2 linked regions of the Callithrix jacchus genome follow. The protein of the gene in region 2 purifies or fractionates together with the protein of the main gene of each other region. This does not show direct contact. Links are inferred from orthologs where the notes say so. Each region holds a gene or a part of one and is shown on either strand. Other genes may lie near its edges.

The links.
Region 1: the proteins of MTNR1A (region 2) and GNAI2 purify together in Homo sapiens (tandem affinity purification; 3 studies listed by BioGRID and IntAct, with this or other methods). This does not show direct contact. The link is inferred for Callithrix jacchus from reciprocal best matches to the Homo sapiens genes MTNR1A and GNAI2.

What each region holds. Positions count from the first base shown.
Region 1 is NC_133516.1:32,817,475-32,832,539, reverse strand, and holds the start of GNAI2 (guanine nucleotide-binding protein G(i) subunit alpha-2), read right to left. Parts: upstream 8,261-15,065; 5' UTR 8,129-8,260; coding exon 8,011-8,128; intron 1-8,010. UniProt on the Homo sapiens protein: Guanine nucleotide-binding proteins (G proteins) are involved as modulators or transducers in various transmembrane signaling systems.
Region 2 is NC_133504.1:5,045,535-5,060,434, reverse strand, and holds the start of MTNR1A (melatonin receptor type 1A), read right to left. Parts: upstream 8,181-14,900; 5' UTR 8,159-8,180; coding exon 7,969-8,158; intron 1-7,968.

The sequences.
Region 1 (15,065 bases), on a different chromosome or scaffold from region 2:
GGCCTGGCAACACAGCAGAACCCCTAGGAACCCCCACAGAAGAGGATAAGGCCCCACTAGGTCATAACACTGAGATTCAGAGGCCAAGGAGCGTGAGGAAGCAGCCTCATCAACTATCAGGCAGTCACCAGCTGACATCATGGCCACATTCAGCCACCACACAGCACCACACACGCACCCAGCACTGAGCCTTTGCTCACAGTGGGGCCCTAAGGAACACACTTTCCTTTCACTTCTCTGGACAATTCCTAGTCTCAGAGGCCCTCACTGTGGACTTCAACAGCTTCTGAGCCTTCCCCAGGCTTGGTCTCAGTCCCACTAAGACTGGAGCTTGTGGGAGAACAAGCATAATATTAGGGAAAAAATTAGTCCTAAGTTGCCAGCTATAACTTGAGCATCACTGTGAGGGGATATGGGCTAGAAGGAAAGGTGGGAAGTAAAAATGGAGCAGCTGCAGCCAGACTCAGTGGCTCATACCTGTAATCCCAGCACTCTGGGAGGCCGAAGCAGGCAAATCACTTGAGGTCAGGAGTTCGAGACCAGCCTGACCAACATGGTGAAACCCCGTCTCTACTAAAAATACAAAATTGGTTGGGTGTAGTGGTGCATGCCTAATGCCAGCTACTTGGGAGGCTGAGGCAGGAGACTCACTTGAACCTGGGAGGCGGAGGTTGCAGTGACCCAAGATCTCGCCACTGCACTCCACCCTGAGAGACAGAGCGAGACTCCGTCTCAAAAAAAAGGGAGGGGAGTGTTCCTCGTGACCACACGGCTGTAGAAAGATTCATACACAAGAGTCTTGGGTCCCGCCTTCCAGATCGGACAGCTCCCTTTCTGTCTCCTAAAAGAGGAATTGAGGCCTACGAGCCAAGGCCCACAGGCACATACAGAACACACATGCACCCTCTGCCTTCCTGCTAGCCTTCCCACCAGTGTCCCTCTCCCACACCATCCGCCCGATGTCCTGCCTGATCCATTTCTTCCAGCCAGCACAGATTCCCAAGGGGCTATGGCAGTTGGAGGCAGGTGCATGGGCCATGTCCTGGCATCTCTGCTTCTTGTGTAAATGACGTAATGTCTCTGAGCTTCAATTTGTCCATCAGTGAAATGGATGTAATGTCAGTCCCAGCCTCACAGGATTAAATAGGACAAGATCATGAAGAGTCCAGCTCCACAGTGAAGGCTCAATCAGAGACAGCTGTGGTTATCACCTGAAGGGAAACTGAGGCCCCGTGAATGCACCCATAGACCCAGTGAGTGGGTGCTGGCAAGGGAGAATCCTTAGGATGAGGCATGGGCTCCTTTGTCCACCCTAGCAGGGGAAACCCAGAGTGAGCTCATCTCGGCACTGCTGCATTTCCAGGCATTCATCTCGGCCTGTGGCTGGCCTTCCGGCTTTGGAGAGCAATGGCCGCTCGGGAATGTAAGAGCAACCCCTCTGCCTTCCTGCTAGCCTTCCCACCAGTGTCCCTCTCCCAGCCACAACTTCCTGTGGCCAAAGGAGGGGCCTGGAATCCTTCTCGGAGGCACCACCTTCTCTGGGATCTTGGGCTCAACAGTTGATGGGGCAGGACAAGGGACAGTGCTACCTGGACTGGCTCCAACCCAGTGACTGCCATTAGAATGGCCCACAGGAATGCACAGATAAGCCTGGGCAGGTATTCACCTCCTAGACCCTTCCAGTTGGCAAAGCCCTGGGGGGCCCTTGGGCTCTCACCCCCACCCTAGCATCAGGCAGCCCTCTGGCCTCTTCCTCTTTTGGGCTCCTCCTCCCCCAGCTGCTTCCTCCTTTTCCTCCAGTGTGGACACCACTTCCCCGAGAGGCCCAGCCCTGCCCTGCCGTGCTGTGCTATGCCGTGCAGACTTCACTCCTCCTCCCCGCCTGGGGCACACACAGTAGGTATTACCAATACCTCCTTTGCAGATTCTGAGGCTGGCAGCAGCCTTGGAGCCCCCAGATTCCTCCAAGCCATAATGATACCTTCTCCCCAACAAGGCTTAGATGACACCACCTTTAGGCCTTTGCTCAGACTGGTGTGATGCTGCCTTTCAAGACTTGTAAATGTGCACAGAGGCCGGCAGAGAAGAACCAGCCCAGCAAATGTTTGGTTATTCGGAAAGATTCTTCCTCCCCAGCCACTAAGAGCGGCCACAGCTCCAAGAAGTAACATCAGGGTGAGGGTGGGGTTAGTGTTTAGTAAGAACAAGAGCTTCAGGCTAGAAGGGCTGGGTGGGGCTGGGCAGACAGGGCCCCACCCTGCCCCTGTAGCTGAGGGAAGGCTGCCTGAGAGCATCAGGTACCAGGGCCACCATCAAAGGTCGCAATCCTTTGCCTTCCCCAAAGCACCTCTCAGTGCATTCTTAGGCAGGGTGCATCAGCAGTGGCCTGGCTAGACCTGTTGACCCCTTCCCTCTCTTTGCTGAATGCCTAGGCTGGGACTCCTGGCCCAAGATGCTGGGAAGATGAGACTGCTCCCTGGCCTATGCCTTGCTTCCATCTGCCCAGTCCTGCCTCCCGGCCACAGCACAACAGCACAACAGGGTATAGAGAAGGCAGTACTCGGGCTCTGGGGCAACCAACAGTCTCCTCCTCTTCTGGGGGTGGGGAGGCCCTGGTTCCTCAGTGGCTAAGAGCTTGGAGGGGGACAAAGCTTCCTCCATCCTGTTCCTGCCAAGTGAATGGGCGGCTTTTAGAGACAGACTGAGAGAGACACAGCCAGGGACTAAGAACTGAGATCAAGGGCAAGGCAGACAGGACCAGCATGTCTGCCTGTGGTCCAAGTAGCGTCAAGTGCACCTACTGCCCACCTCTGCAGTGCTGGAGGCCTAGGGACTTTGCTGGGATCTGACCACACCCCACCCTCAGTACTACCTGTGCCACTTGCTAGGCAAACAAATGTTCAAGGGCCTGGGACATCAGTGATGCCACTCAGTGACCCTACCTCTCAGGCCACCCAGGGCCAACCCCTGACAAGCTGCCCCTGGCCAAATGGGTTCAGGATCATGCCCAGCCCCCATCCAGCAGCCTAGGCTCCGACACACAGTGGGTAATGAGATGCTGCTTCAGGGCTTCTGGCATGGAAGTTTCTGTCCCCCAGCTGGCTTGACTTCCACCTCCAGCCACAGCTTCTTATTCCCTCTGTCCTCCTGTCCTCGAACCTGCTCTACCTGCTGTCTGGGGTTCCCCTCCCCCACCCCACCTGTGATGCCCCCAGCTGAGCTCCAGCTGCCCTGATTTACCTAGTCTCTCAGCTCAGAGGTATCCCTTGAAGGACCTAGTCTCACTGCTACCCTAGAGGTATGACCTCATGTTGGCTGCGCTGACACTGGAATGAGGGGCAGAGCCTGAGCCTAGCAGAACTGGGCAGGATGCAGGCAGAGGGGATCAGCTATGGCTTGGACCCCTGCTCATTCCTTAGCGTGGGAGCTCCATCTCCGTCTGCTCCAGCAGACAAAGCCCCACCAGGCCTGGGGGAGGGGTGGGAAGAAGAGACTCAGAGGCCCAAGACACCCCGCCCCCCATTCAAGTGCTAATGAGCTCCAGCAGTGAAGGAGAGGGCTGGGAGAGAATGTCAGGGCTGGAGGCCAGCCTGGGTGGGTGCTGGCCCACCTGGCACCCAGGGCCCTGCCACATCTCCAAACCTAGGCCCCTAGAGGTTGAGCCTAAGGTGCCCAGAACAGTCTGTCGCCAACTATCTGCACACCTTGGGCTCCCCACTTGCTGTGAATGGCTGCCTCCTTCCCATCAGACTCTCAGCAGTGGGTCTCATCCACTTTCTTTTTTTTTGAGACAGAGTCTTGCTCTGTCCCCCAGGCTGGAATGCAGTGGCACCATCTTGGCTCACTGCAACCTCCACCTCCCAGGTTCAAACGATTCTCATGCCTCACCTTCCTGAGGAGCTGGGATAACAGGCACGAACCACCATACTTGGCTAAGTTTTTTGTATTTTTAGTAGAGATGAGGTTCTACCATGTTGGCCAGGCTGGTCTCAAACTCTTGACCTGTGACCCCTGACAGGTGCTCCGCCTGCCTCGGCCTCCCAAAATGCTGGGATTATAGGTGTGAGCCACCCCATGGGCTGGTCCAGGGAGGATGGGCTCTCCCACAACCCTGCCAGGAAACACCCATCCAAGGTCTTGGGAATAAAGGGCCAAGTCTTTCCGCTGCAGTGCCCTTGTCGAGTCAGTCCCTCTGCCCCCCAGTGCCTGGCCCTGGCAAATGGTGTTCATCCTTCACAGATGCCCACCAGATGCCCTCCTCCTCCAGGAAGCTCCCCTTCACAGACACCACTAGAGTCTAACCCACCACCCAGCCAGCCAGAACCCCAGGCTAGCCCTTCCCATCTATCTCCTGTTAGACCAGGCTCTAGGGCTGCAGCAGGATTAAACTTACCCCTCTCCCAGGAGCTATGCCCTGTTCATGGACATGTTCAATCACTTCATTCTGTCCATATACACTCATTAGGCATCTATAGTATGCCAGCCCTTTGCAAGCGACACAGACAGGACAGAGGCCATGAAATTCCCTTTTTTTTCTCTTGGTAAACTAACTGAGCCCTTGCAATGCAGTCTCTGCGCTGGCCAGTCCCAGGCCTCTCACAGCATTGCTCTGGTCTGAGCCCCAGGGCAGCGGGGCAGCCCCAGTAGGACAAGACAGCTCAAGCTCTACTGTGGCTACCGGAGTGGCAGAGACAGCAGCCCTCTAGCAGTGCACAAACAGCCTGAGTTGGAAGAATATAAAGCCACTCTCCCAGATGAACAGGCTGCAGGCTGCTCAGCAGGAGTTCCGCAAGGGGTGGGGTAAGAACTGTTTCTGAGATGCCAGCATAGCCTGTGGCAGGGCTGGGAAGAAACAGCCTGAAGAGCTTTTCTCAGTGTCCCCTCAATGCTGGTCACCGACCTTGCCGTGGGCCTGTGGGCCCTTGCCACCTGCCCACAGTATCCAAACTGCTGCTCGGTTTACTCCTCCATCTACCCAAAATCAGGTTCAGAGGACACTTCCTTCTTTCAACAAACAGATGAGAAGCACCCAGTAGATGCCAGGCTCCATGCCGGGCACAGAAATGAAGAGGACATAGTCCTGAACGGCAGTCTCCAGGTATCTGATAGGGGAAGCAATAGCGCTGGGAGCCAGAGATGTTTCACCAGCCTTGGTCAAGGGAGGATGTCCAGGAAGGATCCTGGGAGGTGATTCCCAAGTAAAGCTTTAAAGCACAATCAAGTAGGGAACAGCAGATGCAAAGTTCCAGGGACAAGAGAGAACAGCTATATTTACATTCTGAAGCCTTTATGGAGCCAATGGTGGACACTGTCCCCTTTTTCTGTTAAGTTGTCCACAGAAGCCCATCCCAAATCAGAGACTATCCCCCTCACACACACTCTGGCTTCCTTGCCCCTAAGTGCCCAGCCCACAGCCCCAGATTCCATCTGGGCCTAGCTGGTCAGTCACACTGAGCTGGGTAGGTGTGGGTAGCACCCCTAGAGTAGGACTGGTATCTGTTCCCCCCACCAAGCTGCCAGGAAAAACTCTGCGTGTACCACATCAGCCTCTGCCCTGGTGACAGGACTGTGCCCACCTGCTGGCAGAGCTATCCAGGATGGGAGGGAGAGAGGCAGTGTGCAGGCGGGGCAGCAGGCGTGGTTCTGGCTGGGAGGGAAGGCTGGCAATTGCTCAACCTGTGTCCCGTTGCCTGGACAAAGTCTCCCGCTACATGGAACAGGCGCCCAGAACTCTGACCTTGCCACAGCTGGGCTCCCATCGCCACCTTGCACCTGGATGGGAAAGGCTTGGCTCAAGCCAGGATTCCTCCCCAGGCAGCCAAGGCAGATTGGGTTGTCAGTATCAGGCAGAGCTTGGCTGGAGCCCTTTGCAGCACACACTCTGTGGGGTCTTAACCCCCAGCCCACAACCCCAACAAGAACCACCAGGAGGCTCTTGTTCTCCCCATCCTGAGCTGGGGGACTCCTTTGGCCCAAACTCAGGAAGCCCATTTCACAGAGTAAGCAAAGGCCAGAGAGGCGGGCCCCCAGGGTGAACTCCCCAGGCTAAAAAGTGCTGAGCCAGACCCTGCACCCCTGGCTGCTGCAAGCCCAGTGTGGGAAGAGTTGCTAGGTCCCACCTGACGCTATAGCCGAGGCCTGGTGGGATGGGGGACCCATCTGGTGTCAGGACACAAAACTAGCCAGAAGCCCTGGGTTCTCCCAGCTCTATGGTCCAGTCTCACATCTCCTCCTCCACCACAGTAACTGCGATTAGCCTGGGAAGAGGCTTCTGGCTGGGCACTGGGAGGTAGCGGTACCGGAAGTGCCCTCCCCAGGCCCCGCGGGCAGCGGCAGCAGCAGCGAAGGGCATTCCGCCGCGTCGACACCCACTCACTGCCGCTGCCGCACTCACAGCAGAGACAGGAAGAGGCAAGCGCCCAACGCAAAGCAGCCCAGGAGGCTGGGCCGCCGCCCCTTCCCGCCCCTTCTCTTCCTCCCTGAGGCAGCAGCGAAGCGGATGCCATTTTGAAACCTCCGGGGCTGTGCCCCTGAGGCCGGGTCCCCCGGGACAGTCAACAGATGGGCCCGTAATGGACATACATGCTGTTTCTTGGCCACAAGTCTAGCATGAAAAGCCCTGCTTTTCACAGCCTGGGGCCCCATGACAGTTCTGAAGCTGAGGGGCCACACCCCCCCGTGCACTACCCAGCCCACAACGGTGCTGTGCTGTTACGAGAGCCTCCCTCCCCCCAACTCTAAAACCCCCAAATCAAAATCAGAGTCACTGGATACCACCCCTGCTTCCAGTGGGAGGCTGGATGGGGACAACCAGTAAGCCCATGGTCTTTGCTGAAAGGGATGCTCAGAGGCACCCTGGCCCACCCCCAACTAGCCCAACTCCTCATTCCGCCAGTCCACCATTCCCCTTCACAGGGACCCAAGATCCAACAAGTCCCCCTACTCTCAAAGGCTACATCCCAGGCCTTGCAGCCCGGAAGGGGTGTGGGCAGCCCAGCACCTACTAGCAGATCTCCTGGGCCCACCTGCAGGGGCAGCAATATGTCGGCTGTCTCACCACTTCCACTTCCCCCCACAGCTCTAGCAGCCACCATCTTCCCTGGCCTTGGAGGCGGCCACAACCCTAACTCCTCCACACTCTTTCCTACTTCCCAGACTGTAAAACATAGAGCCCGCAGAGCCTCTCCCTGGAAAGCCTGAGGCCCGGCTTCCTCCCCCAGTGTGACCAGTGGAGCCTCAGTCCAGGCCCGTGGGGGTTCTGCATAAGGCAGCCTAGGCCCTCTCCAACGCAGGGCTGCCTCCTCCTAGCCCAGCCCACTTGGTGCAGGAGGGGTGGAGGGAGCTGGGGAAGGCCAGAGTGTAAGAGGACTTAAGGGAAGAGCATCAAAGGGATTCGAGAGTGATGTCTGCAGAGAGGGATCTGGAGAGCAGGAAGCAGGGAGCAGGGCTCGCTGAAGAGGTTCCAGCTGGAGAGGGGGCTCAAGAACAGTTTCCCACTCGAGAGGTTCCTCAGAGTGCACAGGTGGAGAATACAGATTCCAGACTACGAATGGGAAACAGAGGGAGAAGGAGGCAGTGGGTGGGAGGCCTGGCAGGGGCCCGCGGGATGCTCACGCCCAACAGGAATAAAAGGCGCAGGTGAGGAAAACATGTGGAGCCGGAGGGTTGGGGAACAAGTGGCGGGCGTCCTGGGGGTTTGAGTAAAGTGTAGGGAAGGATGGCGGGGGCTCGGAAGTTCTGTGAAGCTGGTTAGCAAGGGCGGATGGCCAAGCAGGGCTCTGGACCGCGGGTGTTGGGGCATTGTTGACTGGATTTGGAGGTCTGGGGTCTGGAATGAGATGGGGATCTGGCCTAGAGTCTGGGCAGGATCAAAGGTCTAGCCCACCCTAGAGTTTTCAACTGGTCTTGGCCTAGGTGTGGGGATCCAGGCGGGCCTGGGAGTTTGAAGCCCTAGTCTGGGAGGTCAAAGTCCTCGTCCGGGGGGATTCAAGCTGCGGGACGCGGCCTCACCCAACAGCAGCAACTTCACCTCCCGCGCCGCCTTCTCGCCGTCTTCCCGCAGGTTCTTGTCGATCATCTTAGAGCGCTCGGCCGCCGCCTTGTCCTCGGCGCTCACGGTGCACCCCATCCCGCCGTCCGCCGGCCCGGCCGCCACCCGGCCCCCACACGGCCCACGGCCCGGCTCGGCCCCGCCCGACCCACTCGGCTCCCACCACCGGCCCTATGTGGGAAGCTCTCGGGTCGGCAGTTTCGAGCGTATGCAGGAGGCGCCTTCCCGACCGCCGCGCACCGACGGCGGGGAGGGCCGGGGGTGGGGCCTGGACGAACCAAGCCCGGTACTGGGCCGGGGCGGGTCTGGAGGCGGGGCCAGAGGAAATTCGAGGCTGGTGATTGGCTCTAGGGTGGAGCGAAGCGAGAAGTTAAGCGCAGCCCAGGCTCGGGCCTGGGCTGCAGGCGGGGCCATGCCGAGCAAAGGCAATAGGGTTGGATCCGAACGAAGGGACCCGGAGCTGGACAGGCTGCAGGCGGGGCCGGGCTCCGATTGGGTGGTGCGGGACAGCCGGGAGGGCGAGGGTGGGGATCTCGTGTCCTCTAGAGCCGAGCAGGAACCGGCCCTCTGAGCGTCTGTGAGTTGGGCGAGTTAGGTGGAGGAGGCGTGCCTTTTGTTATTTGTTAAAGTTAATGGGTCCAATAAACTTGTTTTAGGATCTACAGAACCCCTGGGCCCTTCTGGACCGCGGTTTTCTCAGACTTAAGGCTGGTTTACCCGCTTCTTTCTCTGGGTTGCAGCAAGTCAAAAAAGAAAAAAAAGGCCTGGCGTTGTGGCTCACGCTTGTAATCCCAGCACTTTGGGAGGCCGAGGCAGCACTTTGGGAGGCCGAGGCGGGTGTATCACTTGCGATCAGGAGTTCAAGACCAGCCTGGCCAATATGGTGAAACCCCATCTTTACTAAAAATATAAAAATTAGCCAGAAGTAACAGGTGGTGGGCACCTGTAATCCTAGCTACTCAGGAGGCTGAGGCAGGAGAACTACTTGAATCCGGGAGGTGGAGGTTGCAGTGAGCCGAGATCGTGCCATTGCACGGCAGCCTAGGCCACAGAGAGAGACTCCGTCTCAAAAAAAAAAAAAAGTCGATTTCCACCTCTACACCTTTGTGTAGGCTGTCTCCTTCAGCTGGGTGCCTTCTCAAGAAATCCAAGTCTTACCCATCCTTCCCCAGTCTACCTGGAGGCATTTTTCATGCAGCCATCCTGGACTCCAATCTGGGACCAGGCAACCAGAACCCATAGGAGGAAGGGAGAGAGGGAGAGAAGGTGGAGAGGGAGGAAGAGGGGAGGGCAGACAGGCAGGGTGAGGGGGTTGGGAGAGAAGAAAGAGGAAGAAGTTGCCACTGGACTTCTAGAAACAAAAGTGGCCATGATCTTATGATCTGTCTTCTCCATGGCCTGTCCACATCTGGAGGTGGCCATGAACCCACATCCCACCCTCCTGTGGCCTGTCCCCACTGGGCAATGGCTGCAACCCTATGGCCAGGCAAAGGTGGGGTGGAGGCAGCAGTGTTTCTAGCTGAACATTTCAAGTCTCAGATCCTGCGCTCCAGGAGGAGCCCACAGCCCCAACCTCGACTGGACATTGGAAGGGTCTCCAAATATTACCCACCAAGGCGTTTTGTGTGGCCCCAGTGCCATGGTCCCTGAAGCAAGACAGGGTGCTTGCTAACAACAGCCCACTGTTTAGCACAGACCAATGCCTTAGAACGTTGGTACACATTTTGGCCAGGCACGGTGGCTCGTGCCTGTAATCCCCGCACTCTGGGAGGCTGAAGCAGGCAGATCTCTTGAGGTCAGGAGTTCAAGACCAGCCAGGTCTACATGGTGAAACCTTGTCGCTACTAAAAATACAAAAATTAGCTGGGTGTGGTGGTGTGTGCCTATAATCCCAGCTACTGGGGAGGCTGAGGCAGAATCGCTTGAACCTGGGAGGCAGAGGTTGAAGTGAGCTGAAATCACACCACTGCACTCCAGCCTGACAACAGAGTGAGACTCTGTCTCAAACAAACAACAAAGCTTGGTACACATTTTGTCCCAATCCCCAGGCTGGTTATTCTCTCTGGAGTGCCTGCGTAACCCTATCTGAATGTTTCTCTTGATAAGGAGTCATTGTCCTGGAAGCCCTCCAATGACTCCCTCAGTGCTCCCTCCTGTCCTGAAACATGGGATATGGTGCCCCATGTCCACCACTGCTCTGAAGCTCAGGCAGGCCCTGCCATGGACGTGCAACATGTTGAGGACATATAATGCCCATCAGGGACACAGATATGCTGTATATACCCACACATAGGTCAGCTTCTAACATGCCTTAAATCCACAGAACACACTACAGAAATGGGTACACATGGCCAAGAATATTGTCTGTCCATGCATAGACGACAAACTGGCTTCCAAGGTGGGCCCCTCCCCTTCCCTTCACCGGTTGCCCCGCCCCAGGCTTGAGAGCCGATCGCCGATCCTCGATCCTCGTTCGTCTGGCCTCTCTAGCCTGCTCCTAGCAACAGCCAACAGCTCTCACAGTTGCCAGGCAACAGGGAGAACTTGTCAGCCCCTTGGAGGCCCAGCTCTCAGTAGGTGGGCGCAACATAGACCCCAATCTATGGAAGCAGGGCAGGATGGAGGCTGGCCTTCCCCAGCCCCAGGCCAGATGCTGTGGTTATTGCACCCTTCCTGCTAGTTAGCTACTCCTTTCCAGTCCTGTGCTCTTCCCAGAGAGTCCAGCACCCCTTGCTTCCACTCAGCTGGCTGCTCCTTCTCCATCTCCATGGCATCCCCAGGGCTATAGCCAGGCCTCTGCTTGCCACTCCAGTCATATGCTTCCCACTTTGGGGGCTCAGAAACCCACAGGGTCCTCTCCACTTCCCTGATTGCCAGCCCCATGTCCACCACTGCTCTGAAATCTCCCCCAGACACCTTGGGCACCTCAAACACACACTGTCCAGAACTGGGTACATCCCATCCCACTTGGCCCCTGTTCCTAGGCTCCCCATCACTTCATGGTCCCCCAACCAGCCATAGCAACAACCTCCCTCCCCTACCCCTATATTGCCATCAGCCTCTTCCCTACCTCAATTTCTCCTCCAATCTGTATTTGTTCTCTGTCCCTACTATCTCCCAGTTAAGACTCTATGCTCTTCCTTGGCTCTCCTGTTTCCCCTACAATCCATCCTCCACATGGCAGCCAAGGACATCCTACTGAAAGAAATTACATCACCAGGCGCGGTGGCTCACACATGTAATCCCAGAACTTTGGGAGGCGAAGGCGGGTGGATCACGAGGTCAGGAGTTTGAGACCAGCTTGACCAACATAGTGTAACTGTGTCTCTACTAAAAATACAAAAATTAGCCAGGCGTGGTGTCAGGTGCCTGTAATCCCAGCTACTCAGGAGGCTGAGGCAGGAGAATCACTTGAACCTGAGAGGCAGAGGTTACAGTGAGCCGAGATGAAGCCACTGCACTCCAGCCTGGATGACAGAGCAAGACTCCATCTCAAAAAAAGAAAAGGAAGGAAGAAAGGAAGGAAAGGAAAGGGAAGGGAAGGGAAGGGGAGGGGAGGGGAGGGGAGGGGAGGGGAGGGGAGGGGAGGGGAGGGGAGAGAGGGGAGGGGAGGGGAGGGGAGGGGGGAGGGAGGGAGGGAGGAAAGAAGGAAGGAAGGAAGGAAGGAAGGAAGGAAAGAAGGAAGGAAGGAAGGAAGGAGGCAAGCAATCACATCACTCCCTTGCTTGGAAATCTTCTGTGGTTCCCCAGTGCCCTGAGGATAGATAAAGCCCCCACACGGTGGTTTGGACTCTGCAGGAGGTGGAGGCTGTAGACTGGCAGCTGGCAGCAGAGAGTCTGAGGAGCAGTCTCCAAACTTGCCAACTACTTGTTACTTTGGACAAGTATCAGAAACTCCCTGTGCCTCAGTCTTCTTATCAGTAAAATGGGTCTAAGGTCAGGAAGTTTTCTTTGAGATGATGCAGGGAGTGCTGGAGGCAGAACAGTGAGGAAGAATATTGTAAGAAGATGGAAGAGGCCAGGCGCGGTGGTTCAAGCCTGTAATCCCAGCACTTTGGGAGGCCGAGGCGGGTGGATCACGAGGTCAAGAGATCGAGACCATCCTGGTCAACATGGTGAAACCCCGTCTCTACTAAAAATACAAAAAATTAGCTGACACAGTGGCACGTGCCTGTAATCCCAGCTACTCAGGAGGCTGAGGCAGGAGAATTGCCTGAACCCAGGAGGCGGAGGTTGCAGTGAGCTGAGATCGCGCCATTGCACTCCAGCCTGGGTAACAAGAGCGAAACTCCATCTCAAAAAAAAAAAAAAAAAAAAAAGATGGAAGAGTACATGCGAAGGCAGGGTGGTAGGTCTGAAAGGGGAGGTCTGGGGAAGAGCCAGTGAGAAAATCAAGGCTGAGAGCTGGAGAAACAAACCCCTTGCTTTGCAGCTGAGTCAGCTGAGGTTTAGAGTGGGCTAGGATGCAGCTGCAGTCATCAGTGAGGTACCTTGTGGGCATCCTGGTTTCTTCACACTCAGGAATCCAGGAGTCCTTTCAGGAGAGGTCATTTTTGGGGCAGAGGGTAGCTGCCTAGCAAGGGCCTCATGAGCATGAGAGGAGGCATGATTTGTCCCCATGCCCACCAAGCCCAGCACTGCTTGGACTAGACCATAAAGGACAATGGAATGACTTCAGCAGAGCTGAGGGTGGCATCTCAGCTGGAATGGAGAAGTGGCAGCTCCTGGCTCACCCCTACAGCCAGAATAGCCTTGGGGTTCACCACAGGCTGCAGAGCAGGTCCAGCATGGGCTGAGTTCCTATTGAGCTGCAGCCCTGAGTGGGGTGAGGAACGAAGACCCTCTCAGTGGGCTGTAACACCCTTGCATGCAGGCTCCAGGAAGGGGAAGCTGCTAGCACTTCCCCAAAGGCAGTTTCAGGGTGGGTGTGCCCGTCGCTGCCCAGAGTCCAGAACCAGGTAGGACCCCACAGGGATGCCAAGAGTTCAGGATACCGACCACCCTACCTCCATGGCTCCCAGGTGACAGCGAGTCCCTGGCCAAGGACCTGTGACTACTCAATCACAGCCTTGCAGCTCGTAGACCTCAGGTGCTCACAGCTTTACTCCCTCCTTACTGCCCTGGGGCAGGCTCCACTTCCTGGTGCATCTCCTGCGCTTTCCCCTTCCTGCCTCTTAGCCCAGTGGCAGTTCTGAGGCTGGAGTCAGCTATTCTGCCCTCTCTCCCTGCTCCCTGCCAGACCCCTCTTCCCAGGCCTCTCTTCCCCCAGGAGGAAAACCTGCAAGCCTGGGGGTCCTGGGTCCCAAAGTCTTCTTTTTTGGTCCTCCACCCTTGTCCAGATCATTGGCTTTGACCTGGAGAATTCAGGCCCCTGCATTTCTTCCCCATAAGTATCTGGATTAGGCAAGGGGGCCCAAACTGACACAGGGGTGGGGGCTGGGAGGCAGTAAAGGAGGATCCAGAGGGAGGGGTCATCTGTTCAACCACTGTTCCCTGAACATATTGCCTGCTAATGTGCTGAGAACCCTATGGTAAAAGAGGCAGCTGGGCCCTGTCCTCTAGGAACACACACCAAACAAACGAACAGGGAAATGAACTTCACCATTTCGGAGGAAATCAACAGGGTGACACTAGAGCCACTGGGAGGTATGTGCAGGAGAAGACAGTCTGAGGAGAGGAACTTGAATCATGATCTCAGCTCACCACAACCTCTGCCTCCCCGGTTCAAGCGATTCTCCTGCCTCAGCCTCCTCAGCAGCTGGGATTATAGGCATGAGCCACCACACCTGGATAATTTTTTGTATTTTTAGTAGAGACAGGGTTTCTCCATCTTGGTCAGGCTGGTCTTGAACTCCTGACCTCAACTGATCCACCCGCCTCAACTTCCCAAAGTGCTGGGCTTATAGGCATGAACCACTGTGTCCGGCCCAGGACCAGTCTTGTAGCAAGCCAGAAGAGAGTGACGACAGAGGAAGCAATAAGTGCAAGGGCCCTGGGGTGGGAAGGAGAGCTGGATGCTCCTGAACCAGAGAGGCCAACCCGGCCAGAATAGGGAGAGCAAGAGGACACTGGTGTGAGAAGGGACTGCCATGAGGCATCACAGAGGAACAAGCTACATAGGGGATTCCCAAGTCTCCAGGGAATGCTGAGGTAGAGGCACCATCTCCAAGCCAGTGACCTATGTCTAGCCCTACTAACCCAATAGGTCCTGGCCTTCAGAGTGCTCCTGCATGACTGGAGAGGAGCTACCTAAGCCCTGCAGGGAACTCAGAAGCTCTCAGGGCTTTGGGGCCAAGGATTTAACTTAACCTCCCTCCTTCTCTTTGTCCTTGAAGAGCTGATGGTACAACCTGCCACTGTGCCTGTTGCATAGGCAGCCTCCAAAGGCCACTGCCCCTGGGAAGCCCTGGGTCCTTGGAGGGCCTGGAAAAGATAATCAACTCTATCCCCAGGAGCTACTGCTTTGTTCACGTTATTACCTTATTGCCTAGTCCGCCTTACCGTGCCTGGGGCTGGTAGCCTCTCCAGCGACTGGTTAGGGCTGTCATTAGCACCGCTTCCTGGAATTTAATTTAATGAAGGAGTAAAAACAGCCCTAATGAAGGTGATGCAACAGCAAGCAGCCTAGCAAGGTGCACCTTGGCACCTGGGCTCAGGGGCTTCCTGTAGATTGTGACTAGGAGCAAGAGAGTAATAGTGGAGGAGGGACCTGTTGCAGGAGGGAAGCTGGTCACTGAGTCCTGGACGCACAAGCACTGCTCTGCCTGTACTGTGTGGAGCAAATGCTGCTACCAAAGCCAAGCAGACAGAGGTAGGGGAATGGGCCTGGTCAGGAGCAACTTCAGGCTATTGGAGAAAAAGCTTTTAAAAAACCATCAGCCAGTGCAAAGGCCCTAATATGAAGGCCAGCATGGTGTGCCATGCCAACAGGCCAGGCTGTGGGCTAGCACCAGGGGACGGAGGTCAGCAGGGGCAGATCATTCCTACCACAGGGCAAGAAAGTTTATATTGCATT
Region 2 (14,900 bases):
ACAGGAGGCAACCAACCGATATTTAAATAAAGAAGAAGGGAATGAACACATGAAGGATGGAAGCACATTATCCCTTTGGAGACCACAGGTGTTTCATATTCCTAAATGTGTTCGGAAAATCAAAGAAGAAATACTAATTACTGATCATACATTTTTATAATCCACCACTTAATAACTGTGAGAAAACAAAAATGTAAGTTAGCAAGCTAGTTCTCCAGCAGGTGTTTCTTCAAAACACATAATGCCCGTGTGTTACTCTCACATAGTTATGCTGTGTCTCTATCACTGATCAGTTTCCTTGAAATTCCCTCACTGATTCTGTCTCAGTCTGCTGCTATTTCACATGTGGACTAGTTTCCACACCTCCCTAGTATTATGTTGTTCTCTCATCCTAAGATAACAACTTTAAAAATTTCTTATGATTGCTTTAAGCTCCAGCGACCATCTACCAACCAACTTTTGCATTTCGCTTGAAAAGGTTTTCTGCTATGTAAATATGCTCCTATTTTCATACCTTTGTACTCCATGTCTTATCTTTGTTTGGAAATAAAAAGAACACAAATTTCTAAAGTGCCTTGATAGAAAGTAATCTCTTTGAAAGTAGGTGCCACGTTTGACCCAAGCTCAGCGTAGGACCTTGGATTTTGACAACCCCTCAAAAATTTACCAACCATTTACATTCTGCCTTATACATTAGGAATGCAGGAAGTATTTACCCAAATAAATGTTCAGTTCAATAAGCACCAGAACTACTCGGTATGAAAGCAACTGGGCACGCTTTTAAATCGTTAACAACTCAATTTCGCCTCCACTAACCGGAGTAATATTCAGCACCATGGCTGCATTTCATTTGTGTCTGTTCTTCTGAGACTGATTCCTCCAATTTGATTGCCAACAGCGCACGGCTCTGTAGAAAGACAAGTATTTGAGCACTTCATTCAGAAAAATCCAGTTTATTTCTTATCTGCACACTGTAACACTAAAAATCACTGAGATGTCACATACAGCCCTCAGGTCTCTGGTCAACTTGATTATTTGAGAGGGGCAGAAATGAGGCTGCTGATTAAGGCACTGTCTTCCTGAGCAGAGAGGGCACCAATGAAACAGGCAGAGTTCTGTGCGTGCATAATCGCTTCTTTAACAACAATCCACTCATCGCCTCTTTGGTACTAGAAAATTCTAAAGTATGTGAATTTCCTTTTTAGAAAAACATGGTATTTCTGTCGGTGAGGCAACTTACAAATACTTAGGAAGAAAGGGAAAACTCCAGGCACCTTGTACGGATGCTCCATTCACTTCAGCTATTCTAGTTATTCTTTTTTTTTTAACTGCATTTTAGGTTTTGGGGTACATGTGAAGAACATGCAAGGTACTTGCATAGGTACACACGCGGCAGTGTGATTTGTTGCCTTCCTCCCCTTCACTGATATCTGACATTTCTCCCCATGCTAGCTCTCCCCAACTCCCCACCCCCCGCTGTCCCTCCCCTATTCCCCCCCAACAGACCCCCAGTATGTAGTGCTCCCCTCCCTGTGTCCATATGTTCTCATTGTTCAACACCCACCTATGAGTGAGAACATGTGGTGTTTGGTTTTCTGTTCTTGTGTCAGTTTGCTGAGAATGATGGTCCCTATGAAGGACACGAACTCATCGTTTTTGATGGCTGCATAGTATTCCATGGTGTATATGTACCACATTTTCTCTGTCTGGTCTATCATCATTGGGCATTTGGGTTGGTTCCAGGTCTTTGCTATTATAAACAGTGTTGCAGTGAACATTTTTGTGCATGTGTCCTTATAGTAGAACGATTTATAATCCTTTGGATATGTACCCAGTAATGGGATTGCTGGGTCAAATGGAATTTCTATTTCTAGGTCCTTGAAGAATCGCCACACTGTCTTCCACAATGGTTGAACTAATTTACACTCCCACCAACAGTGTAAAAGTGTTCCTATTTCTCCACATCCTCTCCAGCATCTGTTGTCTCCGGATTTTTTAATGATCACCATTCTAACTGGCATGAGATGGTATCTCAATGTAGTCTTGATTTGCATTTCTCTAATGACCAGTGACAATGAGCATTTTTTCAGCCCCAAATCTCCTGAAACTGATAAGCAACTTCAGCAGAATCTCAGGATACAAAATCAATGTACAAAAATCACAAGCATTCCTATACACCAATAACAGACTTAAAGAGAGCCAAATCAAGAATGAACTGCCATTCGCAATTGCTACCAAGAGAATAAAATACCTAGGAATACAACTCACAAGGAACATAAGGGACCTCTTCAAGGAGAACTACAAACCACTGCTCAATGAAATATGAGAGGACACAAACAGATGGAGAAACATTCCATGTTAATGGTTAGGAAGAATTAATATCGTGAAAATGGCTATACTGCCCAAAGTAATTTACAGACTCAACGCTACCTCCATCAAACTACCATTGACTTTCTTCACAGAACTGGGAAAAACCACCTTAACTTCATATGGAACCAAAAGAGAGCCCGCATAGCCAAGTCAATTCTAAGTAAAAAGAACACAGTGGGAGGCATCACACTACCGGATTTCAAACTATCCAAGGCTGCAGTAATCAAAACAGCATGGTACTGGTTATTCTTTTGAAACGGTGCTAATGAAGAAGGAGCAGAATGAGCTCCAAAGACTCTATGAAGATTTAAAGTGACTTCCAAGGCATGATACTTTTCAATGCAGATATTTTTAAAACAAAACCATCAAATGGCAGGAGCTTTAATCTAGGACTATTTTATCCTTGGTTAACTTCCAAAATTGCCAAGAGAAAAATGATGCTGGAAGCCAGTGAACATAAACTCTATCTTATCTGTGATTAATTTAACATTGAAAATTCCTGCCAGAAACACTTTCTTATGAAATAAATAGCTGGAGGAACCAAAGGTCAGACCCAAATTCAATCATGTGTTTGAGAGTCTGAAACTACTGTCATAAGCTTTACGGGGAATTCTGGGAATTACTCTGACACATTTGTAAAAACTTAGGGTTCCGTAATAATGTACTATACAAACCAGGATAAAAAGTCATAGAAATCTGAAGAACAGCTAAGCATACAAGGGGGGAAAATCAATAAAATGTCTCTAAAAGGAAAAAATGGCCTTGAATCAATAATATCAAATAGTGTGGAAAGCTACAGGCGGGAAGCTGCAACAGTGCCAACAGGAAATCTCAGACTGGAGATGGCATGAAGCATGGGCTCAGCTTATAACCATCGTCCACATCTCTACAGTACAAGGTACGTCGTAAGGTTTTGAATGGCAACATGCTTGCCCAAGAAAGCTACTGCAGTGTCTAGAGTTGATTCACTTAAAGTTAGAGAACAGCTGAATATTGAAATAATAAGTCTTTAAATCTCAAGCTTACTTTCTGCAGAGAGATAATGGTTATTACAAAAGGGAAAACTCAGACAAGGAATATTTTGTGTATTTTGCATAATGTCACAAATGGGAATTTGATTCTAAACCATTTCTGGCTGATTTCACTTTCTTCCCATTCACATCATCTACTTGGTTTTTAAAAAACATACACTTAAAAATATATGAACATTTAAAAAATAAAAATAACCTAAAAAGAACAAATCACCAGATGCATACTAGTAATAACATCATAATACTATTATTTATACCTCAAAATGATGGGTAGATGGGTAGGTAGGTGGGTGGTGGATAGATGGATGGAAGGATGGAAGGATGGATGGATGGAAGGATGGGTGGATGGATGGATGGGTAGATGGATGGGTGGATGAATGGATGGATAGGTAGATGGATGGATGGGTAGATGGATGAAAGGATGGGTGGAAGGATGGATGGATTGAAGGATGGGTAGATGGATGGAAGGATGGGTGGATGGATGGATGAGTGGATGGAAGGATGGGTAGGTAGATGGGTGGGTGGATGGATGGAAGGATGGATGGATGGGTGGGTAGATAGATGGATGGGTGGAAGGATGGATGGATGGGTGGGTGGGTGGATGGATGGGTGGAAGGATGGATGGATGGGTGGGTGGATGGATGGATGGGTGGGTGGGTGGATGGATAGAAGGATGGTTGGTGGATGGATGGGTGGATGGATGTTTGGAAGGATGGGTGGATGGATGGATGGATGGAAGGATAGGTGGATGGATGGATGGATGGGTGGATGAATGGATAGATGGATGGATGGGTGGGTGAATGGGTAGATGGATGGGTGTATGAATGGGTGGGTAGATGGGTAGGTAGGTAGACTGATGGGCAGAATCTAAGTTTATCCTTCTAGTGGCATCTTAAAACAGCCCTGGTACATTCAAGATTTGAATCAGATCTGAGGCCCAAAGTCCAAATTTGCTCCATACTCTGTGTATTCTGGTAATGTAGAATGGATCAATATAACATTCTATAGAGACCTGAATTTTGTGTAAGAGAGGCTTAGCACAGGCCCAGTGTCAGCCACCCAGCCAGAGGACCGTTCTGGGAAACAATTTTTTTTTTTTTAACATTTACTGACATTTAACCCTCCTGTGCCTACAGATTAAATAATAATAAACTGCTTTTGACAGGTATCTTTCTAAAATGTATTATACCTCTGTCTTAAGTAGAGCACACCACACACGATGACACCTCTCCCTGATGGATCAGGTGACGATTAATACATATGTCAGTGCCCTGCACTGCCGTTCGTCGTGAGCAGGGTTATTTGCATCTTCACAATGTAAGCACAGAAGGTCGTGCTTGTTCTATGTTTCAAACTTGCTTTTAATGAGTCTATTTCAACCCATGCTGCTTGCTATTATATGCCATTTCTTTAAATGTGCCAATCTTCCTCCTAATTTCCTGCTCATAATCTACAGGGACCTAGACACTGGTATCACTGTTTGATGGGACTCAAAGTTAGAACAAATCAGCTGTGGGTGAGAGCCTGTCACTTTTGCTAATTTCCACTTATTGGCTGTATTCTACTTCCATTAGATGGCCAGATAATTGAATTCTGAATAGACAAGATGGTATTGTACTCTTGCCTGACACTGTTTAAAATAAGTTTTATTTAAGTATAATGTACATATAGAAAAGTGCACGAATCATAGGTCTTTGGCACAATGGTTTCCAACAAACAGAGCACACCCTTGTGAGGTGTACCCAGAAAACACCCCGACACGGTGTTACTTGTTTTGTCCTTTTCAAAGTGTTCTCATACGCGCCATTTCACTCAAGTCATTGCAACAGTCTTGTGAGGCTAAACAGTCAGGTATCATCTGTAATTCGGCAGGGAGAATGAAGTTTCGTATTTAGCTTCACTGATTTCTGAAATCAGAAGGTGCACAGCAAGGACCGAGTCCTAGCATTGCGTTGCCAGAATCGTCCACTATGCTATCAAACTTACTCAGAAGACGTGACATAGCAGATAAATTCTATTATCACATTTTTGACAAGGGCTGAGTGAATATTCTGTCAGCACCACAGATGCCAGTGGTTGTCTGCAGCCTGCCTCAGCTGTGACTGTCCAGTGTCACCAACACACAGATTGATAGCCATTTTTCATTTCTTCCCTGGGAAGTCAAATGTCAGCACATTCCCCTGAGAGGAGGAAGGTGGCATCAATCACTGCAATTATCCGGGCTTTCCAAAGGAAAGTGAGAGCTCAAACTGTAGATGCCTTCACATTCTCATTTCTTCCATTCTCTTCTTCCCATCCCTTCATTCTTAAAACCAACTAAATTAATTCAGCTGAAAAATCATGCAAACTTCTACCAAGCTTTGCCGAAACTTACATTTGAATCAGCTACCCTTACGACTTTCCAAATCACCATCCATTCTGAAACCCTCAAACGGCTGCAGCTGTACCTATAAACGAAAAGTCCCTATTATAAAAATATGGAGCTTCTAAAGCTCACTAAGCTCACTAAGGGTCTTCCAGGTAGCTACAGGAATGAAGTATGTTATAGACCGTCCTCTTAAGGATATGCCTTAGCAAATAAAATACAAAGTGTGTGTAAGGAGCCCTTTTCTTAAGTTCTTCTTCAGAAAACACAAGAAGTAAAACTGTTCAGGCGTGAACACTTTTGGTTTTTATTTTATTTCACTTTATTTTTTTGAGATGGAGTTTCACTCTTGTTGCCCAGGCTGGAGTGCATAGGCAAAATCTCAGCTCATTACCACCTGTGCCTCCAGGTTCAAGCAGTTCTCCTGCCTCAGTCTCCCAAGTAGTTGGGATTACAGGTGTGCGCCACCACACCAGCTATTTTTTTGTATTTTTAGTAGAGACGGGGGTTTCTCCATGTTGGCCATGCTGGTCTCGAACTCCTGACTCAGGTGATTCCCCCGCTTCGGCTTCCCGAAGTGCTGGGATTACAGGCAGGAGCCATGGTGCCCGGCTGTGGACACTTTTTAAATGAAACGTTCTGCAGGATTCAAACTTCCCAAGGGCTGCAGGTGCTGCCAGCGAGGGATGAGGCTGAGCCCGGAGACCAGCGAGGAATGAGGCTGAGCCCGGAGATCCGCTCCAGGAACTGAACCCTGCTCGCACTTCCAGTCCCTGTGAACAACGTGAAGCCTCAGTTTCTCCTCTGTAAGGTGAGTTAACAACAGCGCCAGACCACGAGGCGGCCCTGGGATTCAGTTATCCCAGTGCTCACAATCTGTTTGGTCCAAAGAAAGCCTTTTTTTTTTGAGACGGAGTTTCGCTCTTGTTACCCAGGCTGGAGTGCAATGGCACGATCTCGGCTCACTGCAACCTCCGCCTCCTGGGTTCAGGCAATTCTCCCGCCTCAGCCTCCTGAGTAGCTGGGATTACAGGCACACGCCACCGTGCCCAGCTTATTTTTTGTATTTTTAGTAGAGACGGGGTTTCACCATGTTGACCAGGATGGTCTCGATCTCTTGACCTCGTGATCCACCCGCCTCGGCCTCCCAAAGTGCTGGGATTACAGGCGTGAGCCACCGCGCCCGGCCAAGAAAGCCGTTTTTATTGCTAGGAAGGAATGAGCCTCTTCTTGAAGGCAGAATTCCTCCAGTTTAAGTCAATCACCTACGAAGTGAGCTTATTCAATTTACTAACCCAAACTCAATTCATATCACTAGGTGCTTATTAACTAATTTTCAAACTGAAAACGGCAAGATCATTACAGGGAAAAACGGCAAGGCTGAGCCTCCCCAAAAGGAGCTCAACAAAATGAGAGCTTTTCTCAATTCCCTGTTTAGAACAAAAATATTGATCTTGGCAGACATTTAAGTGCGTGTTTTCTTTCCCACCCCTTCTCCCAAAGGTTTCTCCAAATAAAAGACTAGTTTCTTCAGAGAGCCGAGCATCTAATCATCACCCAGAGTCTGAACATCCGGTATCCTAACAGCAAAGTGTCCCCAGCTTCCCACCAGAACGAACCAGTTCAATTCCTTGCTCAGAGGAAAAAGCAAGTTTAAGTCAAGCACAGAATTATCGGTAGTTGCATATTCCGCGTAAGGGCAGCCCCTCCTGTCACACAGAACAGGAGACAGTGCAGCTTCTGCGTCCACAGTGTCCCCCGCGTACCCGGCCTGCTCGGGGCCTCCTTCCACCGCAGGCTCGTGGCTGCCGACCACTCCCAGCGGCAAAACCGCAGCGGCTGCTCCGTCGTGGTGCCCGCTTCTGCGTTTCCACATTTCAACAAAGTTAGGAAAAGTAAACCACGTGTCGGACCAAGCCGCGGGTCGGTTCGAACCTTGCAGAGGCTGTTGAGGAACTTCCCGCAGCCTGGAGCCGACGCGTCTCGTTCTGGTAAACCCGAGACAGGACACCAGACCCGGGCGTCCCCGCAGGGGAGAGGGCCCGGCTCCGGCGGAGGGTCCCACCTCGCAGGGCCGCGACTCCGGGTCACCGAAAGGCACTCGAGCGGGCCGGCCGGAGGGAGAGCGACTCCGAGCCCGCGGCGTTTCGGAACCGCCCGAGGCGTCCGGGGCGCGAACCAGGGGCGCGGCGCGGGCCCTACCTGCGTTCCGGAGCTTCTTGTTCCGATACACAGACAGGATGACCAGGAGGTTGCCCAGGACGTCCACCACGATGGTGAAGATGAGGACGCAGGCCAGCGCGGATGCCGGCCACGAGGGCACCGGCCGCGCTGCGTCCCCGCCGGGCACCGGCCGCGAGGCGTTGGGCAGCGCGCTGCCGTTGCCAGGCATGGTCCCTGCGCGCGTCTGGGCCGCGGGGCCGCCGCCTCCCGGGAGCTTTTCAAGGCTCCGCCCGGCGCTCCCGGCGCCCACGCCCCATCCCGCGCGCCCCTCCACGCCGCGCCCCTGGACGCCGCGCGCCACGGCCAGAGAACAACTGGTGCCCGCAGCGAGCCCACCGGGACTCCCCGCCCGCGGCCCGAACCCCGCACCACGGGCCGACAGCGCCCCGCTGCGGGAAGCCGGGCCCAGCCGCCGCGCCCCGGGGACGGTGACCCAGAGGCCTCTCCTCGCGGTGGGGGCACAGCGCGACCACCCGTTGTGTTTCTTCTCTGGAGTGGGACTTTTCACCCAGCAGGGCCAGGCTGCCCGGGCTCAAATCCGACATGGGACTGGGACGAGTTCCCCAGTCACCGGTGCCCCAGCTCCCTTATCTTCCTTATCTGCAAAATGGGAACAGATACTGTCTCCCTCGTTAGCCTCATAATGAGTAAAACGTGAAAAGATCAAGGACGCTCTTCTGCTGTGTATTGCACCGTTTAACGTGGTGCTAGATATTTCCGATGGTGAAATGAGATTTTAAAGAAAAAATGTAAAAAGCAATACTTGCAGCTGATAAAAATGTCTGTACTTTCTTAGGTACCAGTGAAAATGAGAAAGAATGCGCCATCAGATGGGTCTGATACCTGGCAGCAATGTAAAAGTGCGAGGGAACGGCTTAACCCGCTGTGTGCAGTGAGAGAAAACTTCGTGAAAATCGTGAAAGGACATGTAAACAAACGGAGAGACCCGCAGTGTTCCCAGATTCAAAGATTGAAACTGTCGTTTTCCTCATATACTTTATGCCAGCCCAAGAAAACTATCCAATAACCGGAAGTCCCTCTGAAAGAGTAAAAAGAAAGTGCAGGAAAAGGATTTAATAAGATGAATAGAAGTACGACCTACCACTATCAAAATGTGCATTAAAAATTATAATAAGTAGGCCAGGCACGGTTGCTCGCGCTTGTAATGCTAGCACCTTGGGAAGCCAAAGTGAGAGCATCTTCTGAGCTCAGAAGTTTGAGGTTCAATGAGCAATGAGTGCACCAGTCACTCCAGCCTGGGTGACAGAGCAAAATCTTGTCTCAGAAAAAAAAGGCACTTTGGGAGGCTGAGGCAGACGGATCAGGAGGTCAGGAGTTCGAGATCAGCCTGACCAACATGGTGAAACCCCCATCTGTACTAAAAACACAAAAATTAGCTGGGCGTGGTGGTGCCTGCCTGCAGTCAGCTACTCAGGAGGCTGAGGCAGGAGAATCAGTTGAACCCAGGAGGTGGAGTTTGCAGTGAGCAGAGATTGTGCCACTGCGCTCCAGCCTGGAGACAGAGCAAGACTCTGTCTCAAACAAACAAACTAACTAAAATAGCACTGAGCTCATAAAGAATTTGAAAAAGCGCATAAAATAAAGATTTTATAAAGTTAACACTTCAGTGGGACTGGGGTAGATCATGAAAATAGAAATGCGCTAAAGAAAATGTAGGTAAATACACAAAGCACTTGAGGTGGAGAAGCACGGTCTGAGCATGAAAAAAAAAAGGCAGGCAGGAAATAATCCTCACCATGGAAAGAACAGGTAGCAGCTGCCATCGACAGCACCACTGACAACGCTTCTCACTTCCCATCTCTGGCATCCGGATTTGACACCTATGGTTTGTACCGTGTGTTAACAATTCCACAAAGCTTGACTCTGCTGCGACCACTTTATGGATGAGAGGTTAAGCAGTGCACCAAACTCATGCAGCTCGTAGTAAGTGGAGGCAGAATTTGAACTCTGGGCTCTCTGACTGCCAAGCAAGAAACCTCATTTCTAAGTTTCTCAGCCATGATAGATTTGACTATAGAAATGTTAAAAGTTGGCCGGGCGCGGTGGCTCATGCCTGTAATCCCAGCACTTTGGGAGGCCGAGGCGGGTGGATCACGAGGTCAAGAGATCGAGACCATCCTGGTCAACATGGTGAAACCCCGTCTCTACTAAAAATACAAAAATTAGCTGGGCATGGTGGCGCGTGCCTGTAATCCCAGCTACTCAGGAGGCTGAGGCAGGAGAATTGCCTGAACCCAGGAGGCGGAGGTTGCAGTGAGCCGAGATCGTGCCATTGCACTCCAGCCTGGGTAACAAGACTGAAACTCCATCTCAAAAAAGAAAAAAAAAAAAAAACGAAATGTTAAAAGTCCTATATTCAAAAAATACCACACAAGTGAAAGCTAGATAAATTGGGGAAATGATTTGTGACATGTGTAAGAGACAAAGCATTAATGATCTTCATTTTTGTCATGGTTTCAGTGTGTCCCCAGAATTGATGTGTGTAAAATTTGGTCCCCAGGGGAAGGTGGGGCCTTTCAGAGGTGATCAGGTCAAGAGGGTTATACCCTCTGTCTGACTGGGTTCATTCTGCAGGCATGAGTGAGTTCTCGCTCTCCTAGGACTGGATTAGTCAAGGTGAGAGTGGGTTTGTTAAAAAAATTACCACTTAAACCTGGGCGATGGAAAGAGACCCTGCCTCAAAATAAAATAAAATAATCCAGCCCCAGGTATTGTGGTGTTCTTTAATAGCAATGGAAAACAGACTAAGACAATTATATAAAGTAATTTTTCAAATAATCCAGGAAAAAAAATAGAAATCTATTTAAAGGTCATAATTAGACAAAAACTAAAAATTTCTATGTAACCTCTTTTAGTAAAAAAATTAAAAATAAAAGAGAGTGTCCATTCCAGCTGTCACTTTAGAAAACATTAAACATTGGTAGTACCAGGAGTGGTTTGAAATGTGGAGATAAAGCATTCCTGGGCACTAGATATGAATGTTTTAAAACAGCACACCCGGTGCTAGTCATTTTACGAATAGAAAACAACTGGACAAGTGTCCACGTATGTCAGGACACAGAGTTATTTCTCCCTTCATTGTTTGTCACAGGTAAGCCTGTTGTACTTGGGGTTTTGATACACAAATTTGTGAAATCAGTAGATGTAATACAAAGCCATAGATGGCGAACTCCCACAGAAGGGGTGGCATACATAACGGCGGGGTGCACCTAACACAATTCCTGATCTTTCTTCCTTGGGGAATGAGAAAGGGGAAGCTGGGAAGCCATGAACACTGAAAATAATGGGGAAATCCCAGAAAACAAAGACCCGAGAGGGAATGCCCAGACTGACTGCAGCGTCCCTGAGCCCAGCACCCGAGGAATAGACCCAAAAGAAGCAACTAGAGCCCAAGGCCTGAGCTGAGGCTGGAGCTGCCACGCAGAAAACAGTTACAGTTCAAGCCTAGCCAAGAACACGACCTGCTGAGAAAGAAAAGAGTCCTCAATGGAGAAAAATAATAGCATGTGGAATACCTACATCCATCATGTTTAACATCCATAATGTCCATGGTAGGACTCAAAAGTATTAAAAATATAAAACATTATCATCTGTCTATCAACTCTTTATCTATCATCTGTCTACCTATCTATTAATTGAAACACACTAAGATACAATAAAATCAATGAAATCCAGTCCCTAAATGAACGAAATGTTGTAACTAACGAATCTCAACAGAGAAATGGGAACCCTCATGAGAAAAACAGAAACAGTGAAAAAGAACCAAGGGGAAATTCTAGAACTTAAAAACATACCATTTCTGAAATGAAATCTTTCCTCAGTGGGCTTCCCAGCCAGAGGGAAATGACAGAGTGAGTATACTGAAAGATGAACCCACAGAAATTGCCCGACATGAAAAACACAGAGAAAAGATGCTTTTGAAAATGAACAAAGCTTACAGTTCTTATAGATTATATTAGAATACTAGCTGTAGGAATAAACACTAGAAGACATTATGACTGAAATTATCCTGAATTTTAGGAAAGACATAAATTTGCACATGGAAAATGAATCCTAAGCAGCATAAGCAAAAACAAGCACACGAAGGCACACGAGAGTCACTCTGCTAAAAGCCAAACATCCAAAGCAATTAAAGTCACATATCACGTGCTGCTCAGCAGTTAATCCAACTAATGGCTGACTTCTCATCAGAAACTGCTCTATTACTGTCATAACGAATTACCTTCATTAAATGAATTCAGAGACTTAAAACAACACCCATCTATGATGTCATAGTTAAATAGACAAGAAGTCAGGTGCAAAGCGGCCCAGCTGAGCCCTCTGCTTAAGAGTCTTATGAGGATAAAACCTCAAATAAGTAGAGCCGTTTCTTTCTGGAGGTTCTAGGGGTAAATTCTCTTCTGAGCTCATTCAAGTTGCTGGCAGAATCCAGTGTCACATGGTGGTAAGGGTGAGCTTCTAGAAGTTGGCTGCATTCCTTGACTCATGACCCCTTCTCTCATCCTCAAAGCCAACATGGTGGGCAGAGTCCCACTCACACTTCAAATTTCTCTGACTTTATCTTCTTCTTCCTCCCCCCTGCTCTAGCTGGAGGAAGTTCTCTCTTTTAAGGGCATATGTATTTAGATTGGGCCCAACGAGATAACCCAGGCTAATTTTTCTATCTGAAGGTCCATAGCCTTAATTATAACCGACATTCCCTTTTGCCATTGGTCTCACTCCACATTGTGTGGCTATAACAAAGGGCCACAGACTGGGTAATTTACAAAGGAAAGAGGCATGTGTGTCCCATGGTTCTGGAGGCTGGGCAATCCAAGGTCACCAATCCAATTCTCATTTGGTGAAAGCCTTCTTGTTGTGTTATCCCATGGTGGAAGGCGGAAGGCAAGGGAGTAGATGTGAGAGAGGAAGAGAGCCACACTCGCTGTGGTAACAAACCTGCTCTCCTGTGACCAAACCCACTCCCTCCATAATGACATTAATCCATAAATGAGGGCAGGGCCCTCATGGCCTAATCACCTCCTAAAGTCTCACCTTCCAATGTCGTTGCATTGGGGATTAAGTTTCCTACACATAAACTTTTGGAGACACTTTCCAAACCATTGTACCATGTGATGTAACCTTTTCGCAGGTTTGAGTCTTAGGGCATGGACATATTTGCCATGTCATAACTCTTACTAACAGAAATCATGAGGACAAAAGAAGTTGGAACACCGTCTTTTTTTTTTTTTTTTTTTGAGACAGAGTCTCGCTCTGTCACCTAGGCTGGAGTGCAGTGGCATGATCTCGGCTCACTGGAACCTCCGCCTCCTGGGTTCAAGCGAATCTCTTGCCTCAGTCTTCCACGTAGCTGGGACTACAGGTGGGTGCCACCCACACCCAGCTATGTTTTGTATTTTTAGTAGAGATGGGGTTTCACTGTGTAAGCCAGGATGGTCTCCATCTCCTGACCTTGTAATCTGCCTGTTCCAGCCTCCCAAAGTGCTGGGATTACAGCCCCCGGCTGGAACACCATCTTTAAAGTGATAAAAGAGGCCAGGCACAATGGCCTATGCTGTAATCCCAGCACTTTGGAAGCTGAGGCAGAAAACTGACTTGAGGCAGGAGCTTGAGACCAACCTGGGCATCATAGCGAGACCCTGTCTCTACAAAAATAAAAAATAAATTAAAAGAAACAAGTAGTAAAAGAACAAATCTGTCAAACCAGAATTCTGTATTTGGTGAAAATATGACTCAAGGACAAAAACAAAATAAAGACATCTGCAGAAAAAATAAAGAAAAGTTGTCACCAGCAGACCTGCAGTGTAAGGACTGCTTTAGGCCAAACGAGAGGACACCAGCTGGAAACTTGGACTTTCAGAAATTAATAAAGAGCACCAGAAAGGCTAAATATCTGAGTATTTTTCTTCTTTTTTCCTCTTAGAATCTTTGTAACTACACAATATTTAAAAACGAAAATGATAACATTGTCATGGGCTCCTAATGTATATACATACATTAAATATAACCACAATAAAGCATGGTGAGGTGGGCCTAGAAGGTTGCATAATTTCTGTGGTTTATATAAAGAAGTATAGTAATAGCCGTAATGGACTGCAAGCAGGGGGACTGCTTGAGTTCAGGAGGTCAAGGTACAGTGACCTGTAATTGTGCTGCTGTACTCCAGCCTGGGTGACAGAGTCAGACCCTGTCTCAAAAATAAAAAGAAAATAAAGATCAAACAAAATGTAAAAGTCAAGGAAAGAGGAGGAACAAAAGAACAAAAATATGGTTAAACGACAGACCTGCACTCAACTCTATCAATAATTACTTTAATCATTAAGGAGCAAAACACTCCAAAGACAAAGAAACAAGACCCTGCAATAGCCCATCTCTAGAGATGAACTTTAGCTCTAGAGACAAAGGTAAATTGAATGTAATTACATTAGTCTGTTCTCACAGTGCCGTAAATACCAGAGACTGGGTCATTTATGAAGAAAAGAGGCTGAACTGGCTCACGGTTTCCAAGCTGTACAGGAAGCATGGCTGCTTCTGCTCGACTTCTGGGAAGTCTTGGGAGACTTACAATCATGGCAGAAGGTGAAGGGAGGCAGGAGAAGGAGACATCGGGGGAGGTGCTACACACTTCTAAACAACCAGATCTGTGACAACAAGATAGATGAACTCTATCAAAACAGCAGAGTCCACTCCCGTGATTCAATCGCCTCCCTCCAAGACCCACCTCCAACACTGGGGATTACAAATGTGCATGAATTTGGGCAGAGACACGAATTCCAACCATATGAAAGATATGTAAAGGAAAGAGGAAGCACAAAGAGGCCAGAGTGGCTATATCAGTATCAGATTGAAAATGGATCTTGATGTAGAATAGATCTTAAATAAAAATGTAT